3 linked regions of the Macaca mulatta genome follow. The main gene of each other region encodes a partner of the protein of the gene in region 3 in a complex. Links are inferred from orthologs where the notes say so. Each region holds a gene or a part of one and is shown on either strand. Other genes may lie near its edges. The genes, in order: DPF1, SMARCC2 and SMARCA2.

The links.
Region 1: SMARCA2 (region 3) and DPF1 share a complex: the UniProt entries of both Homo sapiens proteins name them as parts of the neuron-specific chromatin remodeling complex. The link is inferred for Macaca mulatta from reciprocal best matches to the Homo sapiens genes SMARCA2 and DPF1.
Region 2: SMARCA2 (region 3) and SMARCC2 share a complex: the UniProt entries of both Homo sapiens proteins name them as parts of the BAF complex. The link is inferred for Macaca mulatta from reciprocal best matches to the Homo sapiens genes SMARCA2 and SMARCC2.

Annotation. Positions count from the first base shown.
Region 1 is NC_133424.1:49,295,327-49,303,387, forward strand, and holds the start of DPF1 (zinc finger protein neuro-d4), read right to left. Parts: upstream 4,572-8,061; 5' UTR 4,219-4,571; coding exon 4,106-4,218; intron 2,698-4,105; coding exon 2,537-2,697; intron 2,454-2,536; coding exon 2,346-2,453; intron 1-2,345. UniProt on the Homo sapiens protein: May have an important role in developing neurons by participating in regulation of cell survival, possibly as a neurospecific transcription factor. Belongs to the neuron-specific chromatin remodeling complex (nBAF complex).
Region 2 is NC_133416.1:63,323,516-63,330,778, forward strand, and holds part of SMARCC2 (SWI/SNF complex subunit SMARCC2), read right to left. Parts: intron 4,086-7,263; coding exon 3,972-4,085; intron 3,113-3,971; coding exon 2,959-3,112; intron 2,283-2,958; coding exon 2,190-2,282; intron 1,958-2,189; coding exon 1,838-1,957; intron 1,744-1,837; coding exon 1,681-1,743; intron 999-1,680; coding exon 740-998; intron 494-739; coding exon 332-493; intron 1-331. UniProt on the Homo sapiens protein: Involved in transcriptional activation and repression of select genes by chromatin remodeling (alteration of DNA-nucleosome topology).
Region 3 is NC_133420.1:97,379,535-97,386,797, reverse strand, and holds part of SMARCA2 (SWI/SNF-related matrix-associated actin-dependent regulator of chromatin subfamily A member 2), read left to right. Parts: intron 1-1,173; coding exon 1,174-1,240; intron 1,241-1,904; coding exon 1,905-2,015; intron 2,016-4,647; coding exon 4,648-4,890; intron 4,891-6,304; coding exon 6,305-6,418; intron 6,419-7,263. UniProt on the Homo sapiens protein: ATPase involved in transcriptional activation and repression of select genes by chromatin remodeling (alteration of DNA-nucleosome topology).

The sequences.
Region 1 (8,061 bases), on a different chromosome or scaffold from region 3:
GGTGCCTCACACCTGTAATCCCAGCACTTTAGGAGGCCGAGGTGGGTGGATCACTTCAGGTCAGGAGTTCGAGACCAGCCTGGCCAACATGGTAAAACCTCATCTCTACTTAAAAACAAAATACAAAAATTGACTGGATGTAATTGCTCACGCCTGTAATCCCAGCTACTCAGGAGGCTGAGAAAGAGAATCACCTGAACTCGGGAGACAGAGGTTGCAGTGAGCTGAGATCGTGCCACTGCACTCCAAACTGGATGGAAGAAAAGAAAGAGAAAGAAACAAGGAAAAGAAAGAAAGAAAAGGAAGGGAGGGAGGGAGGGAGGGAAGAAGGAAGGAAGGAAGGAAGGAAGGAAGGAAGGAAGGAAGGAAGGAAGGAAGGAAGGAAGGAAGGAAGGAAGGAAGGAAGGAAGGAAGGGAAAGAAAGAAAAAAGAAAAGAAAGAAAGAAAGAAAGAGAAGAGAGAGGGAGGGAGGGAGAGAAAGAGAGAGGGAGAGAAAAAGAAAGAAAGAAAAAGAAAGAAAGAAAGAAAGAAAGAAAGAAAGAAAGAAAGAAAGAAAGAAAGAAAGAGAAAGAAAGAAAGAAAAAGAAAGAAAGAAAGAAAGAAAGAAAGAAAGAAAGAAAGAAAGAAAGAAAGAAAGAAAGAAAGAAAGAAAGAAAGAAAGAAGAAAGAATTAGCCCTCCAGATACCTAGGCCCCCCTGGGGAAGACAGCCAGATGAGATGCCTAGACACATAGTGGGGAGATACCAACATACCCAGGGAGAATTGCTCAGCTAGATACACACACACACACATAGGAGACACAGACAGACAGAGACACAGCCAGGTGGTCACTGCCACACTCCTGGGTACACACAGACCTTCGGACTCAGGAAGAGAAACTGACCCCAATGACCCTGATACTCCTAAACACATTCAAGGTTAAGTCCAGATCCTCTGATGGACTGACACACACGTGCAGAAATACACCTGATACACCAGACACCATCAGGAAGAGATTCTCCCAGACACTCCGAGGCACCTACACACCCACAGAAAGAGACGGCCGCACCGCGTAACACACCCAGACACACTGGGAAGGAGCTGGACGCCCTGACAAACCAGACATACACAAGACACAAGCCTTCTAAGACACTTGGAGACACCCGGGAAGATACACCTAAGAGAGGAAAGAGCTCCAACCAGACACTGAGACATCCAGACGCCCTTGGGGAGATACAGAGGCGGACACCCTCAGGCACCCACAGAAGAAAATACAGGCAGATGGCCGGGCACGGTGGCTCAAGCCTATAATCCCAGCACTCTGGGAGGCCGAGTCGGGTGGATCACCTGAGGTCAGGAGTTCGAGACCAGCCTGGCCAACACGGTGAAACCCCGTCTCTACTAAAAATACACAAAAATTAGCCGGGCGTGTCGATGTGCGCTAGGTGGGAGGTTGAGACAGGAGAATCACTTGAACCCACTAGGCGGAGGTTGCAGTGAGTTGAGATCGTGCCACTGTACTTCCAGCCTGGGCAACAGAGCCGGACTCCATCTCCAAAAAAAAAAAAAAAAAATACAGGCAGATACTGATCCATCCCAACTCCCAGGGGAAGGGATGCAGACAGAAACTCCATATACCCACACACACCTAACAGGTATCACTATGCCCTCCAATACCACTGGACCCCTTGGCGGGGTGTAGTGGCTCACGCCTGTAATCGCCACACTTTGGAGGGCTGAGAAGGGAGGATCCTTTGAGCTCAGGAGTTCGAGACCAGCCTAGGCAACATAATAACACCCTGCCTCTATTTTAAAAACAACAGGCCGGGTACAGTGGCTCACGCCTGTAATGCCAGCACTTCGGGAGGCCGAGGTGGCCAGATCACCTAAGGTCAGAAGTTCCAAACCAGCCTGACCAACACGGTGAAACCCCATTTCTACTAAAAATACAAAATTAGCTGGGCGTGGCGGCGCATGCCTGTAATCCCAGCTACTCAGAAGGCTGAGGCAGGAGAATCGCTTGAACCCGCTAGGCAGAGGTTGCGGGTTCAAGGTTCAACTCCCCACTAGGTGGAGGTTGCGAGATCGCGCCATTGCACTCCAGCCTGGGTGAAACTCTGTCTCAAAAATAAATAAATAAATACATAACAACAACTGGGCACCTGGGCCCATGTAGGAGGAGATGCAGTCGCCACTCAGTGACTCAGAGAAACTGTGGAATCTCTGGGAAACACCCGAGATGCACATGGGCAGACACACAGCCAGCCAGGCAGACACTTGCTAGAAGGCGGATAAAGGTGACCGACGGGCTTGGACACACAGCAGGCCGTGGGACACCATTGGAGGCCCCAGCGGCTGCACCCACCGATCTTGTACTCGCAGGGCCTGAGTCTGGGGTCCTCCAGGATGTTGAGTCTCCGTTTCTTCCTCCAACAGCGGGCGGGGTACGTGTAAATCTGTCCCGGGGCCAAACCTGGCGAGAACGGAAGGTGAGAGGGCGGCCGAGGTGGGGTGGCCCGGCCCCGCCCCGCCTCGCGCCAGCCCTCCCAGCGGTACCCGGCCCGCGGTGGGTCTTCTCCATCCAGATGTAGCAGTTGTTCTGGGCCACGCCGGTCTGCGAGTCGAGGAAGGGCAGTCGCAGGCTGCGCTCCGCACACAGGCGCGCGTTGTAGCTGCGGCAGTGCTCGATGGCCTCGCGGTAGAAGTCCTCGCCTAGGCTAGAGGGGCAGCGAACGGGCGGGCGGCTGTCAGCAAGGGCAGGCGCACTGGGTCGCCCAGCACCCCTCCCCCGGCTGCCGGCCCGCCCAGGCTCGGGAGGGGTGGGCAGACCCCTCCAGCTTCACCTCTCTCCTCCTCCCACTCCGGGACCCAGGCTGGGGGAAGGGTACAGGGCCCAGGGGCCCCCAAACTGGGACTCAAACACGCCTCCAGCTCATGAGTAGAAACACCATACAGAAACAAACAAAAACACACCGGGATGTATCCCTACATGAACACATGCAGACACACAACACAAATCACACACAGTCACACGGGATTCACACACACAAAGAGAGACAAATCCCAGTACTCACAAAGGAGAAACAGACAAACCTCACACACGTGCACACATAAATATCTACTGAAAAAGACAAATATCCCAAGTTCCATAGTGTGGAGACGAATCACACAAATAACCATGCACAAAGACACATCACATATCCACAGACACACACCAGAAACACATCACTCACACAAAGACACACAACATGGAAACATAACACCACACACACATACACACCTCATGCAGCCAAAGACATACAGACACACACATGTCAAAGGACAGGAACTACAGAAACCACTTACCCCCCTGTGCACTTACCCACGTATCCAAAGACACAACACAAACCACACACACAATATCCAGACACACAACACAAAGAAATCACATAGATTCACACAGGTACACACATTTACAAAGATGTGCAATGTGGAACCAGTATCTAAAATATAATACATCCACACAGACACACACACATATAAAACACAGAAACAGCCAAATCCACCCACAGTCACACAAAAATTTACACACAAATACACACAGTCCTACATACCCAAAAACACAGAACACAAGACAAATGACAGATAGTTCCAAAGGACACAGACACACACTGGGAGACCCAAATATCCAAAGATATCTAGTGCAGAATAAAAAGAAACGGACACACGTCCACACACCTATCCCCCAAAAATTCTTTAAAAAACCAGAACACAAATAAGTGGTACATACACACACTCCACATCCCAAGACAAAGGTAGTGTGGACTTCACTCCAGTTTGCCAAGGCTCCCGCACCCCCGGGTCATTTCACCCTCTCCCAGACCCGAGGGTCGCAGGGAGGGGACGATGTCCCCCTTCCCCAAAAAGAATCTGGAGGTCCCCCACGCCCTCCACCCCTCCAGGGAGCGGCGCATCCGACATCATTCTTGTCAGAGACCCACAGTCACACACTCTCGCACCCCCACGCAGCCCCGCACTCGGTGACAGCCCCCCAGACACCCCCTCGGCCCCACCCCCGGCCGCCACACACACCCAGGCCCGCGTAGACCCGCCCGCGCTCCCTCCCCGCCTCCTGCCAGCCCGCACCACCTCAGGGGGCCAGGGATGACAGTGGCCATCTTGCTCCCCGGGTCCTGCCCCCAGCAGGTCCCCGCCGGGTCGGTCCTCCCAGCGGTCGGGCGGGCGCTGAGGCCGCCCATCCATTCATTCCCGGGGGGCGGGAGCACGAGGGCCACGGCCAATAGCGGCGACGGGGCGGGCCCGCCCGGGCCATGCCGGGAGTGGTAGTCCCAGGCCAGGGGGCCCCCGGGACCCCGCGGGGACGGGGACGGCGCGGAGGAGGGGCCCGGGGCACGCACCGTCACTCACCCGCCCTCACTCGTCCACATAGCCTGCTCTCGCGTGCACACAACCACATGCACACCTGGACTCGCACACGCCCACGCATGGCAGTTTACACACACATTCACGCGGAGACTCACAGCCGCCCACACACTCCTACTCACACACCTTCGCACGGACTCACAGCCACATGCACACACACTGCAATACTAAGAGACGCAGAGACACCTCCCAGGTGCCCACACAGACTTCTCACCAACATGCTTCCAGCAGACACCTCCCATCCCCCCCACCCGAGTCTCTCCTGGCTCCAGAGTCCCCATCCGGGGCTGTCTCTCCCAGCAGCCACGCTCACGGTCACCCCGCCCTGCTCAACGCCTTCTGCAGGCCTGACAGCAGCAGTGCAGGTTAGAAACAGTAGTCTCACCTCCAGGGTTTAAATCTTAGCTCTGTCACTTGGTGGCCATGTGACCTTGGCAAATGACTTAACCTTTCTGGGCCTCAGTTTCCTCATCTGTAAAAAGAGGATGATGCCTCACTGGAGTGTTGTGAGGATTAAATGAGGAAGTATAGGCAAAGCATTTTAAAAGGTAACTGGCAGGCCAGGTGCAGTGGCTCACACCTGTAATCCCGGCACTTTGGGAGGCCCAGGCAGGTGGATCACCTGAGGTCAGGAGTAGGAGACCAGCCTGGCCAACAGTCTCTACTAAAAATACAAAAATTAGCCGGATGTGGTGGTGCATGCCTGTACTCCCAGCTATTTGGGAGGCTGAGGCAGGAGAATCACTTGAGCCCAGGAGGCGGAGGTTGCAGTGAGTTGACATCGCGCCTGGGCGACAGAGCAAGAAACTGCCTTAAACAAAAAAACAAAAAAAGGTACCTGGCAGGTAGTATTTGCTCAAGAAATCCATTTATTCCACAAAGGAGCTGATACGTACTTTACTAAGATGTCAATGGTAATACCTAAATGCTATCAGAAAGAATAATGCGGGCCAGGAACAGTGGCTCACGCTTGTAATCCCAGCACTTTGAGAGGCTGAGGCGGGCAGATCACCTTAGGTTGGGAGTTTGAGACCTGCCTGACCAACAAGGAGAAACCCCATCTCTACTAAAAATACAAAATTAGCCAGGCGTAGTGGCACATGCCTATAATCCCAGCCACTTGGGAAGCTGAGGCAGGAAAATCACTTGAACCCAGGAGGCGGAGGTTGCAGTGAGCCAAGATCATGCCTTTGCACTCCAGCCTGGGCAACAAGAGCAAGACTCCATCTCAAAAATAAATAAATAAATAAATAACAAATAAGAAAGAAAGAATAATGCTGGCCAGGTGCAATGGTTCCAGTCTGCGATCCCAGTACTTTGGGAGGCCTAGATGAGAGGACTACTTGAGCCCAGGAGTTTGAGACCAACCTGGGCAACATATCCAGACTCCTGTCTCTACAAAAAAAAAAAAATTTAAATTAGCTGGGCATGATGGCGCATCAGTGTAGTACCAGCTACTTGCGAGGCTAAAGTGGGAGGATAGCTTGAACCTGGGAGGCTGAGGCTGCAGTGAGCTGTGGTCTCACCACTGCACTCCAGTCTGGATGGCAGAGCAAGACTCTGTCTCTAAAAGCAAACAAACAAACAAAAAAAATAAGTAAGCAGGGCGAGGTGACTCATGCCTGTAATCCCAGCAATTTGGGAGGCTGAGATGAGAGGACCACTTGAGCTCAGGAGACCAGCCTGGGCAACATAGCGAGACCTGGTCTCTACCAAAAAGAAAATAAATAGCTGGGCATGGTGGCACATGCCTATGGTCCCAGCTACTCAGGAGGCTGAGTCAGGAGGATTGGTTGAGCCCAGGAGATCAAAGCTGTAATGAGCTATGATCACACCACTACACTCCAGCCTGGACAACTGAGCAAGACCCTATCTCCAAAAAAAAAAAAAAAATAGATGCTCAGTAGATATTTGTTGAATGAGTAAATGCACCCATCATGTGCTGGGCATAGTTCACCCCGTGTTGCTATTATTATCTGCATTTTCCAGGTGAGGAATCTGAGGCACAGGAAGGTGACCTCACATACCTGCATCCCCTGGCGGCTCTTTGAAAGTGAGACTGAAGGAAGGAGGCAGACACCCTGACGCCCCTCCCCAAGTGGCCCTGACCTCCTTCTCTCTTCCACTGTCACACACACTGACTCCACCGGAAGAGATCCCCAGGGAGTGAGCGGACCCACTGAGTCACACACTGACCCAGTCTCTCCACAACACCACCACCCCGTCCCTCTTCCCGTCTCACCCCTCCTTCCCCTTTCCCCTTCCTCTCTTCCGCCCCGACCCCTGTAGAGCCAGCATTCAGGTTTGGGCGGCTGCTGTAATTAACACGCCCACAAACGCCCTCATCCACCAGGGGGCGCCCCAGCCGACAATAGTGGCCCGCTAGCCTTCACCATTTTTGTCACTTGAAATCCCCCCATGAGAAACATCCAGTCAAGGCCTCCTACACTCACGGTCACTTCTACACACACACACACACACACACACACACACACACACACACACACACCCCTCTAGTCTTAGACCCTTTCCACCAACTTGCCCATCTAAGCCAGGTAAGGCCTTGGCCCGCCCCTCTCCTGAAACAGGAGGAAGTGGGTCTCTGATTCACATATGGCCTGGAGTGTGACAAAGGGATTAAGTGGGGGAAAGTGGCACCCCTACGATCACTCTGGCCTCCAGGGGCCTATAGTGGCCACCCCACGCCTTGCCCACGGTGAGCTGTGACCCCACCTTCCTCTCTCACCTCCCATTCGCTCACAGGTCCCCTAGCACACCCTCTTACACTTGATTCCCACACCTCTAGCCTCAGGCACTCACCCCTGCCCCACCCCAAACTCTCATGTCAATTTGATTAAGAGAAGCCCGAGTGTAGACACTCTGAGTGTAGACCTTTCTAACAGTCCTCCTCTACAAGCAGAATTTCTATTTGTCTTTTCTTTTCTTCCTTTCTTTCTTTCTCTTTTTCCTTCTCTCTTTCTTTCTTTCTTCCTTTCTTTCTTTCTTTCTCCTTCTTTCTTTCCTCTTTCTTTTTCTCTCTCTCTTTTTTTTTGGACAGGGTCTCACTCAATGACCCAGGCTGGAGTGCATGAACACAGCTCACTGCAGCCTCCACCTCCCAGGCTCAAGCGATCCTCCCACCTCAAACCCCCAAGTAGCTGGGACTACAGGTGTGCACCACCACACCCGGCTAATTTTTGTATTTTTGTAAAAACAGGGTGTCCCTATGTTGGCCAGGCTAGTCTCAAACTTCTAAGCTCAAGTGATCTGCCCACCCTGGCCTCCCAAAGTGCTGGGATTACAGGCATGAGCCTCTGTGTCTGGCCCACCAGCAGGGCCTCTACCCGCAGACCCAGGCTGACACTTGGAGCGGGCTCTCCTTTCTTTCCTTCCGCCCTAACCACCTGCACACACCACTCCCACACACTTCTACACACTTGAACTCCCAGTCCTCTCCCTGGCCCAAACAATCCTCCTGCCCCATGCCCCAGTGCCCTGTTGGGGAGCTGGCCCACAGTAGAAATCAATTTCATAAATCAATATTGATACCACTAATAATAATCACTACATTTGATCAGTGTCGGTCTCTGTGCTAAGTGCTTTACAAAGATGGCCTTATTTAAGCCCCAGGACAGCCCCATCAGGTGGTAAGGGCTGTT
Region 2 (7,263 bases), on a different chromosome or scaffold from region 3:
CAGGCTGGTCTTGAACTCCTGACCTCATGATCCACCCGCCTCAGCCTCTCAAAGTGCTGGGATTATAGGCGTGAGCCATCGCGCCCAGCCTTCACAAGACTTTTCTAATAGCCCCTTCTACAGGCCAAGATTTTTCTACCCAAAATCTTCATGAGAGGGCCAGTAGAGGTCCAGAGCCCCTGAGGTAAGCTCATGGGGAAAATAAAAACCCTACCGATTTTCTCATTCATGTTGTGCTCTGATGCCAACTTGAGGCAGAAATGGCACAGGGAGGCCAGGTGGCTCCGGCTCTTGTGAAAGGCAAGAAATGTGGGAACCTGCCTGGCCTTACCAATCCGCTCAGGCTCATCAGAGGTGGTTCCTGCAATGCCACTGCTTTCCAGACCGAAGGCAGGGTCCGCCTTGCCTGTTACTTTGGCTGCTTCTTCCACTTTCCGAACATGGGCCTCCACCAAGGCCGTGGGTACCTCTTCCTTCATTTTGGAGAACTCCTCTGTAAGACCCAGAAAGGATGAGGCTGGGAGTGGCGCAGGGGGACAGTTCTGGCAATCCCTGCAAAAGCTTACTCACAAGCCCATGTCTTTATCTAAGCCAGTATGGAGCCTAGACAGATGCCCGAGCTGAGGCCTGCACAGACAAGGACAGCAGGGCAGCCAAACTTGAGAGGATTCACAGTCTGAGTAACTAGCCCTTCAAAAGCAAACTAAGAAGGCCAGGTGGAACCGCCCACCCCCATTACCTAGGGCTGACTTTGCAGCAGCAGAGGCGACTCGGGGATCGACGACAGAGGCCAAGAAGGCAACAGTGCTCATAACAGGGTTGCCCGACTGACTGAAGGGGATGGGTTGGTAGGCCAGGGGGCCTAGGGAGGCCTCTGAGTCCTCCAGGTATGGGTCTTCAATGGGAAGACGAAGAAAATGCAAGATGCACTCGTCCTGTGTGCGGCTTCCCACATGCTCGGACACTTTGTTCCAGTCATCTTTGTACATTTCCAGTGCCTGGTGGTAGTGGTGGAGACATAACTCCGCTTACTTAGCCACTTTTCTCGAAGGCCGACTCCCCCCATCCTACTAAGGGCAGCTGGTTTCAAAGCTCTCTATGTTCTGGTATTTGTGTACTCTGCTAGGTCCAAGAGGGATCTTGAAGTAGCACTAAGAAAGGATATGAAGTTAATGAAATGGCCCAAATCCCCAGCCTGGAGCTGGTCCCTGGGGCAGGTGCAACAGGCATTGGGAACGGGAGAGACAGGGCAAGATCATGCTCTGCTCATGCCAAACTCCACGATCTCTCCTCACTCACAAGTGTGGCCAGCAACTTCAACATGTCTGTTTTCTTTTTTTGTTTGTTTGTTTTTTGAAACAGGGTCTTGTCTCACTCTGTCACCCATGCTGGAGTGCAGTGGTATGATCACAGCTCACTGGAGCCTTGACCTCCTGGGCAAGCCTCCCACTTAGCCTCCTGAGTAGCTGGGACCACAGGTGTGTGCCACCACACCTGGCTAATTTTTTAAATTTTTCATAAAGGCAGAGTCTCACTATGTTGTCCAGGCTCGTCTCGAACTCCTGGGCTCAAGCGATCCTCCTGCCTTGGCCTCTCAAAGTGCTGGGATTACAGGTGTGAGCCTCTACACGGAGCCCACTTCTGTTTCCAGAGAAAAACTCTTTTCTTTGCCCCAATTACCTCCAGGAGAAGCAGGGTTTCCTGTTCTGTCCACTCACGAGTGGCACTGGCTGCAGCTTTGCTCTGCAGGGGAAACACAGGCAGGTCAGAAGAGAGGAGCCTGTGACCTCTGAGGAGTGAACATTCTCTACCCCTAAAGTCGGCCCCCACCTCCTACCTTGGAGGGAACATTCTTTTTTGTGTACATGTCTGTGCGCAGCCCAAAGTTTTGCATGTCTGTTGGTTTCTCTTTGCCTTTGTCAGGAAAGTTGAGCATTTGTTGGGAAGCAGAGGTCTGCTATTTGTGGAGGGAAAGAAAGAGGTGAGTACAAGTGACCACTGGGAGCCAGGGGCTGACAGAGAGAAAAAACAGACAGAAGGAGCTTCTTTCCCAAAGCCAGGGACACCCCTGGGTGGGACTTCCTCCCTTACTGCTGTAGTTCCTCTGCTCTCATGTCTCTTCTTCCCGGGCAGGGGCCCCCCAATAAAGGGGCAAATGAGCAGCCCAGCAGGGTCTGCACCCCACCTACCAGCTCTGGCTTGCCCTTAGCCGTCTCTGGCACCAGGTCATCCAGCTCTTTGCCCTTTCGCCCAGCCTTGGTATCAGCATCAACCTGGCGGCCCTGGGGGACAGAGCTTGGCGTCATGGAGGCTGGGCAGGAAATGACCAGGTCAAGGCCCTGGAGGCCTCAAGACCAAATGCTGGGCGGCCCGCAAGCTCTGGGGGCACTCATGCCACTGTTCCATGTTCCCTTCATGATTAGTAAGACATGTCATTGGCATGATATCCATATATATTCACATTATCTTTACAGGTTCTCTTAGGAGCTGGACAATTACGTTCTAATCCTAGATTTGGTACTCTGTGACCTTGGGCAAGCCACATAACCTTCTTCCTAAATTTTGTAATGGATGAAGTGGAAATGAAAAAAAAAAAAAAAAGAAGGTGATAATTATGAGGCAAAAATGAAAAAATGTGGCAAAGATGACAAAGTTTAAAAATTTCATGCAAGTTAATTTTAAGCCATTTTTCTCTATCTATTGAATCCCCTACATTAGCCTGTCTGCTCCTTGAGTAAAAGGATAATCTCTTCTCCCTCAGCAATTACAGCCTTAGGTACAAAGGCTGAGAGAGGATGCTAAACACATGGGGCTGATTCCTGTGGCCCTTTGCATCCCATGGAAAAGCAAGAAGCCTCAAAACACTCCTGAACCATTAGCCTAAAAACCAGAAAAAGAAAAGTTCAAAGAAGCCCAATCTTCCCAACCCCGCCCCATCCCCATAGTACCTCACCCTACCTGAGGGGTCTTGGGCTGCAGAGGCACCAGCCCTGATGGTGTGTCAGCCAAGACATGGAAGTGAGAGGTAGGCGGAGGCCCCATTGGGGTTGGTCGACTCTCAGCATCCACCTGGTAGTTAATAAGACCCCACTGTTCTAGGAAGGCATGGACCCTGTGCGGAGAGAGGCAGAGACAGTGTCACACGGATAGCCAGAAAGGTGCACGAGGAAGAGGAAAACTGGGGGTAGAAGTTGGGGCATAAACCCCCTCCCCACCCAACCCCAGCCTTTTCCTCTGTTCATTGTACTCCTTAGGAAATTTTACCTACTCCAGTTGTTCATTTACCACCTAAATGCCAGTGACACCCAAGTCTACATCTCCAGCCTGGGCCAATCTCTATATCCACCTACCTACTGAACATTTCTTCCTGAATAGCTAGTAAAACTGAACCAGTTTCTTTCTTTTCTTTTCTTTCTTTGCCCTTCCTCCCTCCCCACTCCCTCCCTCTCCCTCTCTTTCTTTTTTTCTATCCCTGAGAGAGGCTGAAGTGCAGTGGTGTGATCACCGCTCACTGCAGCCTCCACTCCAGGGCTCAGTGATCCTCCCATCTCAGCCTCCTGAGTCACTAAGACCATAGACACGTGCGACCACGCCTAGCTAATTTTTTTGCATTTTCTGTAGAGATGGGGTTTCGCCATTTTGCCCAGGCTGGTCTCGAACTTCTGGCCTCCAGCGATCCTCCCACCTTGGTCTCCCAAAATGTTTAGATTATAGGCACGAGCCACTACACCTGGCCTGAACCAGTAGCTTTCAATTACACACGTGCTCCTTTGTCCTATATTCTACACTTCAGAGAATGCCACTGCTAATCCCCCAAGTCATTCATTCCCAAACCTGTACTTCACCTTTCTCTAGAGGTGTTTTTTTCTGCCTGCTCCTCTATGTTCCTTGCTGGCATCTCTACTGTTGTCAAAACACATCCATAGGCAGGCATCTTCATGTACCCCCTTCCCCTCAGCCACAAGACCCACCTCATGATGGCACAGACATCACCCGCTAGGTTTCGGCGACAGGCGGTAGAGGTAAGATACTCTTGGGGGTTCAGTCGGTAAGTGTCAATCATAAAGTTTCGATAGGCCAGGTAGCTTAGAAGAGAGAGAGAAACAAGAAAAAAAATTAATGTTTGTTAAAGGGCTAAAGGAAAAAATGGTAAGAGAGCTAACGACTTCTCCTGCATGATAAAGGTGGAAAAAAGTAGATTATTTGACTCAATACGCTGAGTGCCTGCTATGTGCTAGATGAAAGGGTTTCAAATAGGTCTTAGTTTTCCTTGATGGTGTTTTCTTTAAATGAATTATCTCCTTGGCTATACTTATGGATATTTCATACAATTTTTTTTTTTTTGAGATGGAGTTTCACTCTTGTTGCCCAGGCTGGAGTGCAATGGCGTGATCTTGGCTCACAGTCACTTCCGCCTCCTGGGTTCAAGCAATTCTCCTGCCTCAGCCTCCTCAGTAGCTGAGATGACAGGCATGTGCCACTACGGTGGGATAATTTTGTATTTTTAGTAGAGACAGGTTTTCTCCATGTTGGTCAGGCTGGTCTTGAACTCCTGACCTCAGGTGATCCTCCTGCCTCGGCCTCCCAAAGTGCTGGGATTACAGGCATAAGCCACTGCGCCTGGCCATTTTATACAATTTTTAAACAAGGAATTAGAAGTTAAGAAAAAGTACTCATTTCCAAACTCAGATGTTAATAAGGAAGTCCTTATTCATGCACACAGCTAGTTAGCATAATATGGTAAAAAACATATGTTTTGAAGAAAAGACCTAATCCCAGTTCTACCATGAGGACCTTGGCAATTTACTTCGATTTTTTTAAACCTCAGTTTCCTCATCTGTAAAATGGAACATCCGTTGAGAATGAAAGGTCTATAGAGTACTAGTACAGTGCCTGGGGCACTGTAGGGGCTCAAAAAAAATGGCGGCTATTACGTGGTACAGTGTAAACTTTCAGATCATGGGCCAGATTAAAGGATTCAGATCCTGGTTTTACTTACTAGCTCTGTGACTTTATGCAGGTGACCTGACTCCTCTGTACCCTATCTGTCAACTGAAGATGATATCAACCTTCGTTGACATAAAGATTAAATTACTCAATGTATGTTGGACATTTAGGATAGTGCCTGGGAGATACTAAGCTCCCAGATGTAGGCAATTATCATCATTTACTATTTTTTTTTTCTGAGATGGAGTTTCACTCTTGTTGCCCAGGCTGGAGTGCAATGACGTGATCTCGGCTCACTGCAACTTCCACCTACTGGGCTCAAGTGATTCTCCTGCCTCAGCCTCCCAAGTAGCTGGGATTACAGGTGCGTGCCACCACACCCAGCTAATTTTTGTATTTTTAGTAGAGATGGGGTTTTACCATGTTGGCCAGGCTGGTCTCGAACTCCTGACCTCATGATCTGCCCCGCCTCGGCCTCCCAAAGTGCTGGAATTACAGGCGTGAACCACCACACCGAGCCCATCATTTACTATTTTATACCAAGAGTTCAGTTCCTACTCCAACCCTGCCTGCATGTCATGTTGAATTCATTTCATCTGATCACTACTTTCTTTTCACACATACTGCTTTCTCCAGGAAGAGAAGAAGAAAGAACCACAGCAAGCTATGAGGAAAAAACATGGAGGGACCACCAGAGAAGGCAAGCTGTGGAATACCTAGGAAGAAAACTTGTTCAGTTCTCAGTCTCACCCACCTCATCAATGTGGTTATCTTCAAGTATTCCTAACCAAAGAAGATTGCCACGTCTTATCCAAAGCCAAGCAGGTTTGGCCTGAGGCAAAATCTTTTTTTTTTTTTTGAGACGGAGTCTCGCTCTGTTGCCCAGGCTGAAGTGCAGTGGCAGAATCTCAGCTCACTGCAAGCTCTGCCTCCCGGGTTCACGCCATTCTCCTGCCTCAGCCTCCCAAGTAGCTGGAACTACAGGTGCCCGCCACCATGCCCAGCTAATTTTTTTTGTATTTTTAGTAGAGACAGGGTTTCACTGTGTTAGCCAGGATGGTCTCCCATCTCCTGACCTCATGATCAGCCTGCCTCGGCCTCCCAAAGTGCTGGGATTACAGGTGTGAGCCACCACGCTCAGCCGGCCTGAGGCAAAATCTTGAAGGAGATGAAGACTTTCGAGCCCCAAACCCATACTTTTATTTATTTGTTCATTAACTTTTTTTTTTTTTCTGAGACAGAGTCTTGCTCTATCGCCCAGGCTGGAGTGCAGTGGTGTGATCTTGGCTCACTGCAACCTCTGCCTCCCAGGTTCAAGCGATTCTCCTGCCTCAGCCTCCAGACTAGCTGGGACTACAGATGCGTGCCACCATGCCCGGCTATTTTTTTTTTTTTCCAGACAGAGTTTCACTCTTGTTGGCCAGGCTGGAGTGCAGTGGCATGATCTCGGCTCACCACAACTTCCGCCTCCCATGTTCAAGCGATTCTCCTGCCTCAGCCTCTGTAGTAGTTGGGATTACAGGCATGTGCCACCATGCCAGGCTAGTTTTGTATTTTTAGTAGAGATGGGGTTTCTCCAGGTTGGTCAGGCTGGTCTCGAACTCCCCACCTCAGGTGATCTGCCCACCTGCGCCTCCCAAAGTGCTGGGATTGCAGGCATGAGCCACTGCGCCTGGTCTTTTTTGGTATTTTTAATAGAGACGGGGTTTCACCACGTTAGCCAGGATGGTCTTGATCTCCTGACCTTGTGATCCACCCGCCTCGGCCTCCCAAAGTGTTAGGATTATAGGCATGAGCCACAGTGCCCAGCCTTGTTCATTCATTTTTTTAGATATGGGGTCTTGCTGTGTCAGTCAGGCTGGAGTGCAGTGGCGTGATCATGGCTCAGTGTAGCCTCAAACTCCTAGGCTCAAGCAACCCTCCCATTTCAGCTTCTCAAGTAGCTGGGACCACAGGTATGCCCCACCATGCCCAGCTAATTTTTTTTTTCACTTCTTTAGAGACGGGAGTCCTGCAATGTTGCTCACACTATTCTTGAACTCCTGGCCTCAAGGAATCCTTCTGTCTCAGTGTCCCAAGTAGCTGGGATGATTTACAGTCGTGAGCCACTGTGGCTCCTACACTTCTTTCCCAGAGAGCCCTCTCCATCCCTTAATTTATATAAACTGGTCTTCTATTAGTTCCTTCTCTTGTTTTTCTATGAAAACCTACTCTCAGGAACCAGCCTGGTAATAGTAATTTACACTTTAATCAAAGCTATTACTTGTGCTAGGAATATCTGCAGTTTAGACAATATCAGTAATATGGATTTAAAGG
Region 3 (7,263 bases):
CCACCCCTCCCCATCCTAGCCTGTTTGATTGGCCTTTTAAGCAGGGGACCAAGTGATTTTATCAGCCATTAGCATTACAGGTCTATACAGCCTGAACACTGCATAGGGAGTCTTGCTCATCATTATTCCTTAAGTGGCTCACAAAGGGGAAAGTTTGTGTGTGTGTGGGGGGGGGTGTGTGTGAGGTTTCTTTGATTTTTTCCTTATTCCATTTCCAAAAGATTATATATTCTTAAATCTTCCTTTTAAAGCGGAATATAAATCAAAAGCACAACTATGAATTTTGCATTAAAATAACCTTAGTATGTGCACTGAGGTTATGTTTCAATGAGTTTGCTGCTTAGTAAGGACAGGCCTTTGCTGTTCACCATTATGTTCCCAGTGCCTCACCCACTGGGTATTTCTTAGAAGGTCCTAAGTGGACACTACTGAGTGAGGGCATAATGATTCACACGCACCCTCCCTGGGAGTTCAGTGTGTCTGCCTGTGGGTGTTAGGTTGCAGCTTTATTCACCGAGCTCTTGTTATAGATCTCAATGCTGATAGGAACTTGGACCTTCAGTAAGAAGAAGGATTCTATTAATATTATTGTGTTTTCTTTGAATTTTTTCTAATGAAGACTATTTGCAGTCCTTTTTGTATGAATTATCTGTATCTATAATATTTAGGCATCTTTTGCATTTAATCTATATTTTGCACGTTCTGAATCATATATACAGTGACACTTTCAGGACTTTAAAAAAAAAGTCATTCAATATTTCTTCCCCGTTCCCTCTTGACAGATTTATTTTATGTTTTCATGTGGTTTTGTAATTTCTTTTTCCTGACTCAACTTTTTTCTGAACTTATATGACTGTTTATGAAGACTCCTAAAATTATTCTGGCAATTGCTCTTTTTAAATATCATATTACAGTTTAGTTTTTTGCTCTCTATATATTCTCTGGTTTTTTTCTTACAAGATTTTTTTTATGAACCACAAACTTGTCATGTTTTGTGACAGTTTATTTTGAACTTATCTCTTATTTCCACACCTTTAAAATATGTTGTTGAGATATGTTATATTCTGTAGCCCCTTTCAAGGTGAGGCCTGAAAATGAATAAGAACATCTTTTTAACCATTGATTTTTATACAAATGTCTTTTTTCTGTGTATTTTTTTTTGTTGTTCCATAGGACTCTATCTAACTGGACATATGAATTTGACAAATGGGCTCCTTCTGTGGTGAAAATTTCTTACAAGGTTTGGAATGCTGTATTTATATATAAATGTGGAAGAGCAAAAAATAGACCGTATTTTCTTCATTCCATATGCACATCTGTGAACTGTATTTGGTTGTAAAGTTTTGTCATGTACATCATGTACTAAACCGTGAGAGTTAATCATCCCAAGAAGATGACTGTAATAAACCATAATTACTTTCAGATAGTGAAATCCAGAAGAAAATTGTTAATTATCATATTGCAAGGTTTCTGATGAGAGTAATACAAATGACAAATATCACACATTCTGCATGCTGCTGACTGGCTCACTGTGGGCTGCTACTGTGCCGACTGTTCCTGCAAAGTCAGGCAGTTACCCGGGTGCCCGGGCTGCCTGCTGTACTTTCTCAAAAGAACTGGAGCCTTTCAGCAGAGCAGTGGGTTCTCTACTACCACAAAGTCACTGTCATTTCTCTTTGCCCTCCCACTGTCTTTGGTGGGAAAACCTTTCTAAAAAAGATCTGAAAAGGGTCAAGACGTGTAATTTAGCCAAAACTTCCTTGTGTATAATAGATCAGTCTATGAGAATGTGTGTCTGTGCATTCTTCAGTCACATGTCTGGGCATCATTAAGCTATGAATAGTGAGAAATAACACACATATATGTCCATAGGATCATGCATATACTGTTTTCTTTCCATTCAGGGTACTCCTGCCATGCGTCGCTCCCTTGTCCCCCAGCTACGGAGTGGCAAATTCAATGTCCTCTTGACTACTTATGAGTATATTATAAAAGACAAGCACATTCTTGCAAAGGTATGTTTCTAAAAAATTATTTTCTCTCTAATTATGGACCATCGCACTGGAACGTGAAGTATTGCCCAAATCAATAGTATAATTAGATCCTTAGATGGCTTGTCCCTTTCTTTATTTTTTAAAAATTTTGTCAGAGTTTGATGTATTTAGGTCATGGATTTGATTTCATGCATGCTATTTGTGTGTGTGTGTGTGTGTGTGTGTGTGTGTGTGTGTGTGTATGGTTGATCCTGGAATGGCTCTTGACTGTCCTCTCAGAGTTGATGAGTTTACATCTCTTAGAAAAATTCACCTGGTTGCTTCTGCAACTCTTTTCTCTCCAACAGCTTTGAACATTCTCGGGAGAGAAATAATTGTTTTTGTTGCCCTGAGATATTGTCAGTGTAACTTCATTCCTCTTGTGCCTTTGTTTCTCCAAAGATGAGCCAGACACCTCTGCATATGGTCTCCGCCATATGAACATTTATCCAAGCATTGGCTTTTGTGGTAGTCTTGTTTCAGGTTTTTCCTGGTGAAATAATAGACTATCATTGTTGGATTACTCAAGGCTGTTTCTGTGACTATTTATTTGAAACTGAGAAAGAGGTGTTTCTGTGACTTACGTGTCTCCTAATTTGTGTGTCCTAAGTTGTTCCTCAGCCACAAAGTAGAAGTTTTTACCCCCATTTTTATCATCTTGTCTTCTAGTACATTCATGTAGAAAGATGGAAGTACTCTCTCTCATGGAACAAATAATGAAAACTCATTTTTTTTTCTCTTTAGTAATTTTTTTTTTACCCCATGATGTTTTGAAAGCACTATAATCTGAAACTAAGTTATGTCCAAAATTGAATAGAACCTCTATTTCTGGGGTCTATTCTATCTCTGCATTAAACTCTTGCTCTGGGAACTGAGAGTTCCCTTCATGGCATCATAGGAAATAACAAAAAGGAAATGTGTTCCCAGGGGAGGTTTAATAATTGAGATGGCACTGGCAACAATGTTGTGTTCCACCTCCTCACACTCAGAGATGAATTTGGCAGTGTCAAAAATGATGTGTTTTCAATATTACTATGGGAATGTATTTGTACATTTGAGATCCTTTTAAAAAAATTCATATTGTGTCATCTGCATATGTATTTCAAGATTCATTGGAGATGCCTGGTAATGAGATGCATTGCTTTTATTTGTTACTGGAGAAATGGAGCTATAGAAAGGGGTAGTAATTTTGTCCAAGTGGAAGACCTAATTAGTAGTAGACCCAATAGCAAAATCAAAGGCCTCTGATTCTTTATTACTTCATAAGCTAAATTAGGCAAGAAAGTAGATTTAGGATATTTATTTAAATATATTTTTGTCTGCTTACCTCTTTTCATGCTATTGGTAAGTTTGAGGCAGTTGATTGTACAGTTTTAATTATCCTTTAAGCACTTTCCTTAGAGGTGGTGGAGGAAGGAAGAAAAATTGAGGTAGGTTTTTTGTTTGTTTGTTTGTTTACCTATACATCCCAGCCTGACTGATAATTTTATTCCTTTTCTCCCGGCATGTCTGATGCTTCTAATGAGGAAGGCAAGGACTGTATAGAATACTTCCCTCATCTCCCTTCTGTCTCTAGGAGCTTTGCAGCAGGATCTGGGGACATCTGAGCACCAGATGTTTTTCTTGGCCATAGCCACTGTTTTGTAGAGAATGGATAGGCTTAGTGGAACATTCCTCATTGTTCTCACTTTAAGAAACTGAACAGTGCTCTTAAGAGGACCGAAGGGCAAGGCATGAGAGAGGAAAGGGACTGTGTAGACAGGATAGAGGACTGGGCCATTTAAGCATTCTGGACGTTTTACGCAATAGTCATGTTGGGGAATTATGCTGTATTTAATTCTGCAGTTTTGGCATAAATAGAGGAATGATATTTTTGCACTGCCCTTTCTGCCAGTGAGTATATACTTTTATTTTAGATAAAACAGGGGTCCTAGATCTGGCAGGTAAGGAATGTGCGTGTATTGAGGGAGCTTGGTTGTCAGACCTAATTTTTGAAGAGCTGTATGTACAAATTTAATGTGAAATGGTCCAACTTTTAAATGTTAGCAACCAGTCCAAACAAAACAAAACACACTTCCCAGCCAAGCCCTAAAGGTAGTAACCAGCCAGGCTAATAGAAAAGAAGGTATGGAGCCAGGAATATCTCAGCTGTAGAACCTGCTAGGGCCATCTTGGAAAAATCAGTCATTAACCTCTGCTTCAGGTGGGTACCTATATTCTGCACCTGTCATGAGCCGAAATAGCATGACAATGAAATCTGGGATAGCTGTCATGATACAGTATTACTAGAAGGGGCACTGGATGGGGAGATACAGGATCCACATGTAGGAACAACCATGTCATTCTGGACCTAACTTTCTTTCTTTGTAAAAAGTTGATTTGGAATTACGAGGTCTGTAAGGAACATTGTTGCTTTAACATTCTATTATTACAGGATGTCTTATGTGGCCTATCAGGCATGAGACATTGTTGAGATTCTCTTGTCTCAAAGGTAATCACGGCATATCATATACCAAGGATGGGTTCTTTGGTTTCCCGCACCACTACTTGCTTGTTGGAAATAGTTGTATTTTCCCTTGCTTACTACATGTCCATCCTTCCTCTTATGTTATAGATTCGGTGGAAATACATGATAGTGGATGAAGGCCACCGAATGAAGAATCACCACTGCAAGCTGACTCAGGTCTTGAACACTCACTATGTGGCTCCCAGAAGGATCCTCTTGACTGGGACCCCGCTGCAGAATAAGCTCCCTGAACTCTGGGCCCTCCTCAACTTCCTCCTCCCCACAATTTTTAAGAGCTGCAGCACATTTGAACAATGGTTCAATGCTCCATTTGCCATGACTGGTGAAAGGGTACTGGTCTGACTTTTGTTTTTTCTACTGCATGACAATGACATGAAATGAAAGGCCCTAAAGCTGGGAACATTACTGCCACAGAACACCCGCAGGGTGGTTTACAATGTTGTTTATTTTATGAAACCCATTGGTGGGTGGACATGGTCTCGTGGTGGGGTTATTTTCCCCTCCTAGGAAAATGGATCTAGTGGTATACGGGGCATCTAATCCCTTTGTCTTTTGCCAGCATGTTTACCAGGCTACCAGAAAAGGGTCCCTACTGGTGGAACCAGTGGGCCACAGGGAGGATGAACATGGAGATGTTTTGCTGAATTAATTTAACCAGATCAAATTAACAACTAAATACAAGCTTTAAACAAATCTTTCCTTGTTATAAACTTGGAGTTCCCTTTGAAATATTTCCACATGAAGAGTTTGTGTGTAAAACAGAACTAGTTTTCACTAATTTTCTGCACACTTTTTTTTTTTTTCTTTTTAGGTTTTAATGTGAGTTTCAGTTTTGTGTGTACGTAAATTGTCTTCCTGGAGTAGCCATTTATTTTCCAGTTTCTTACTGTTCCTTCCACTGTCTTCTCTTAAGACCTCATTTATGAAAGGAAGACAATGGGCCGTTGCAAGAAAAGAAATGGGCACGTCATTTTCATAGTGGTTCCTCATTCATAGGAATGAAAAGCCACTAAAAATGCTTTAGTAAAATTTCAGTTTGAATTATTTGGTCCTTTGATTTTGAGGCACATGGGCCCCTCCTCAGTGGTTAACTCACTGGCTTGCCCATTTGTAGAAAGTAGTGTCAATCAACTCTGCCCCCTAGAGGTTAATAGGAGAAGGTGAAAGAGAAAGCCGGGAAATTTGTAAGTTTGGCTAAATTTGAACTAGATAGGGCTGAGAAAAGGAAAGGAGTGAAGTTAGAGGGACTTAGAGGTCCACCAGCATAAACTAGATCGACTCTTGTTCCTCTTCTTTATATGTGCAAGCCCCTGTTCCTTTAGTATGTTTCTGTGTCTGAGACAACCAAGACGAAGGGCCTAACTTAAGGCTGCCACTTTAAATAGGGAACATATTAACTATTGCCCCTCTTCTCCCGTTCTATCTCAATCTTCAGTCCGTCTTCATTGACAGTCATATTCCATACAATTTGGGGCTGTTGACACTACTGATAAAAACTGGTGGCTTCTGGACTCTTTTCCATAGAACTCAGCATTAAGACAAAGATCTATTTAGAGGTCATTTTGTTACCGCTTGGTAGGCAGGTGGGAAGATAATTCAGAGGTAGATATGATAGGCTTAAACCTGGCTTTAATGCATGTAAAATGTTAATCATGTATTGAACCATATAAGTATAACATAAAGCTTTATTGTATGAAACATCCTTTTCTTTAAAACATCAAATTCATATAAGCCTCTCTTACAGGTGGATTTAAATGAAGAAGAAACTATATTGATCATCAGACGTCTACATAAGGTGTTAAGACCATTTTTACTAAGGAGACTGAAGAAAGAAGTTGAATCCCAGCTTCCAGAAAAAGTATGTCGCACAGTCAAAAGTTGTGGGGTTTTTTTTCCTCCAGCAAATATATTTGAAGTACCTGCCTCTGAGATTGTGTTTCTGAAACAGCAGACTCATATTGTAGTTATAAGTATCTTGAAAATATCTTAAAGTGCTTTTTTGTTTGATAGGGCTAGAGAGAGAAGGGAAATTATAGCATTTGCAGCCTGTTTTCCAAAAGCGTTCGAGCGGATTTTATAAAATTATCAAATTCATTGAGTCTCATTTACATTTTAATTTTAGAATTTTTTTTTTTAAGTGGCCTCATTGAGTTCACTGTTGCAGGCACTGTAGAATTGTTCTGCTTATAAGTGAATGGAATATTTGACTTTGGGGACTTGTGTCATCATTGAAGGGGATGGGGAACATTAGCAGGTTTTCTAGAAATGTATTTAGTATTTGATGTTTGTGATGTCACCATTCTGACAGTAAGTGAAAAAACAAGAGTTTCTGCAAATTACAGACACACCATCTAATTATTTGGGGACATTATTTTTGTTCCGTGCCATAAAAATTAAGTTCCTGTGACCACGTTAAGCCAGTATTTTTCAGACTAACTTTTGGAAACTTAGTTTGTGGTGCTTTAGAACAGCTTCTGAGCCCTTCGCTCTATGTTTTGGGGTTGGATTTGAGTATTAGTTTACTATGTTTCTGATCGTATTTTGGAACCATGCATATTTGAATTCTAAGTTTCATTCTCTTAAAGATAGTTTAGCATTGTATACTATTTGTTGCATGAGGTATTTTGATTGGAGTTTTTTCTTTAGAAGAGCCAATTCTGAGATGTTTTATTTTTTGCATGATTGTGGTTTTTCTGGGTAACG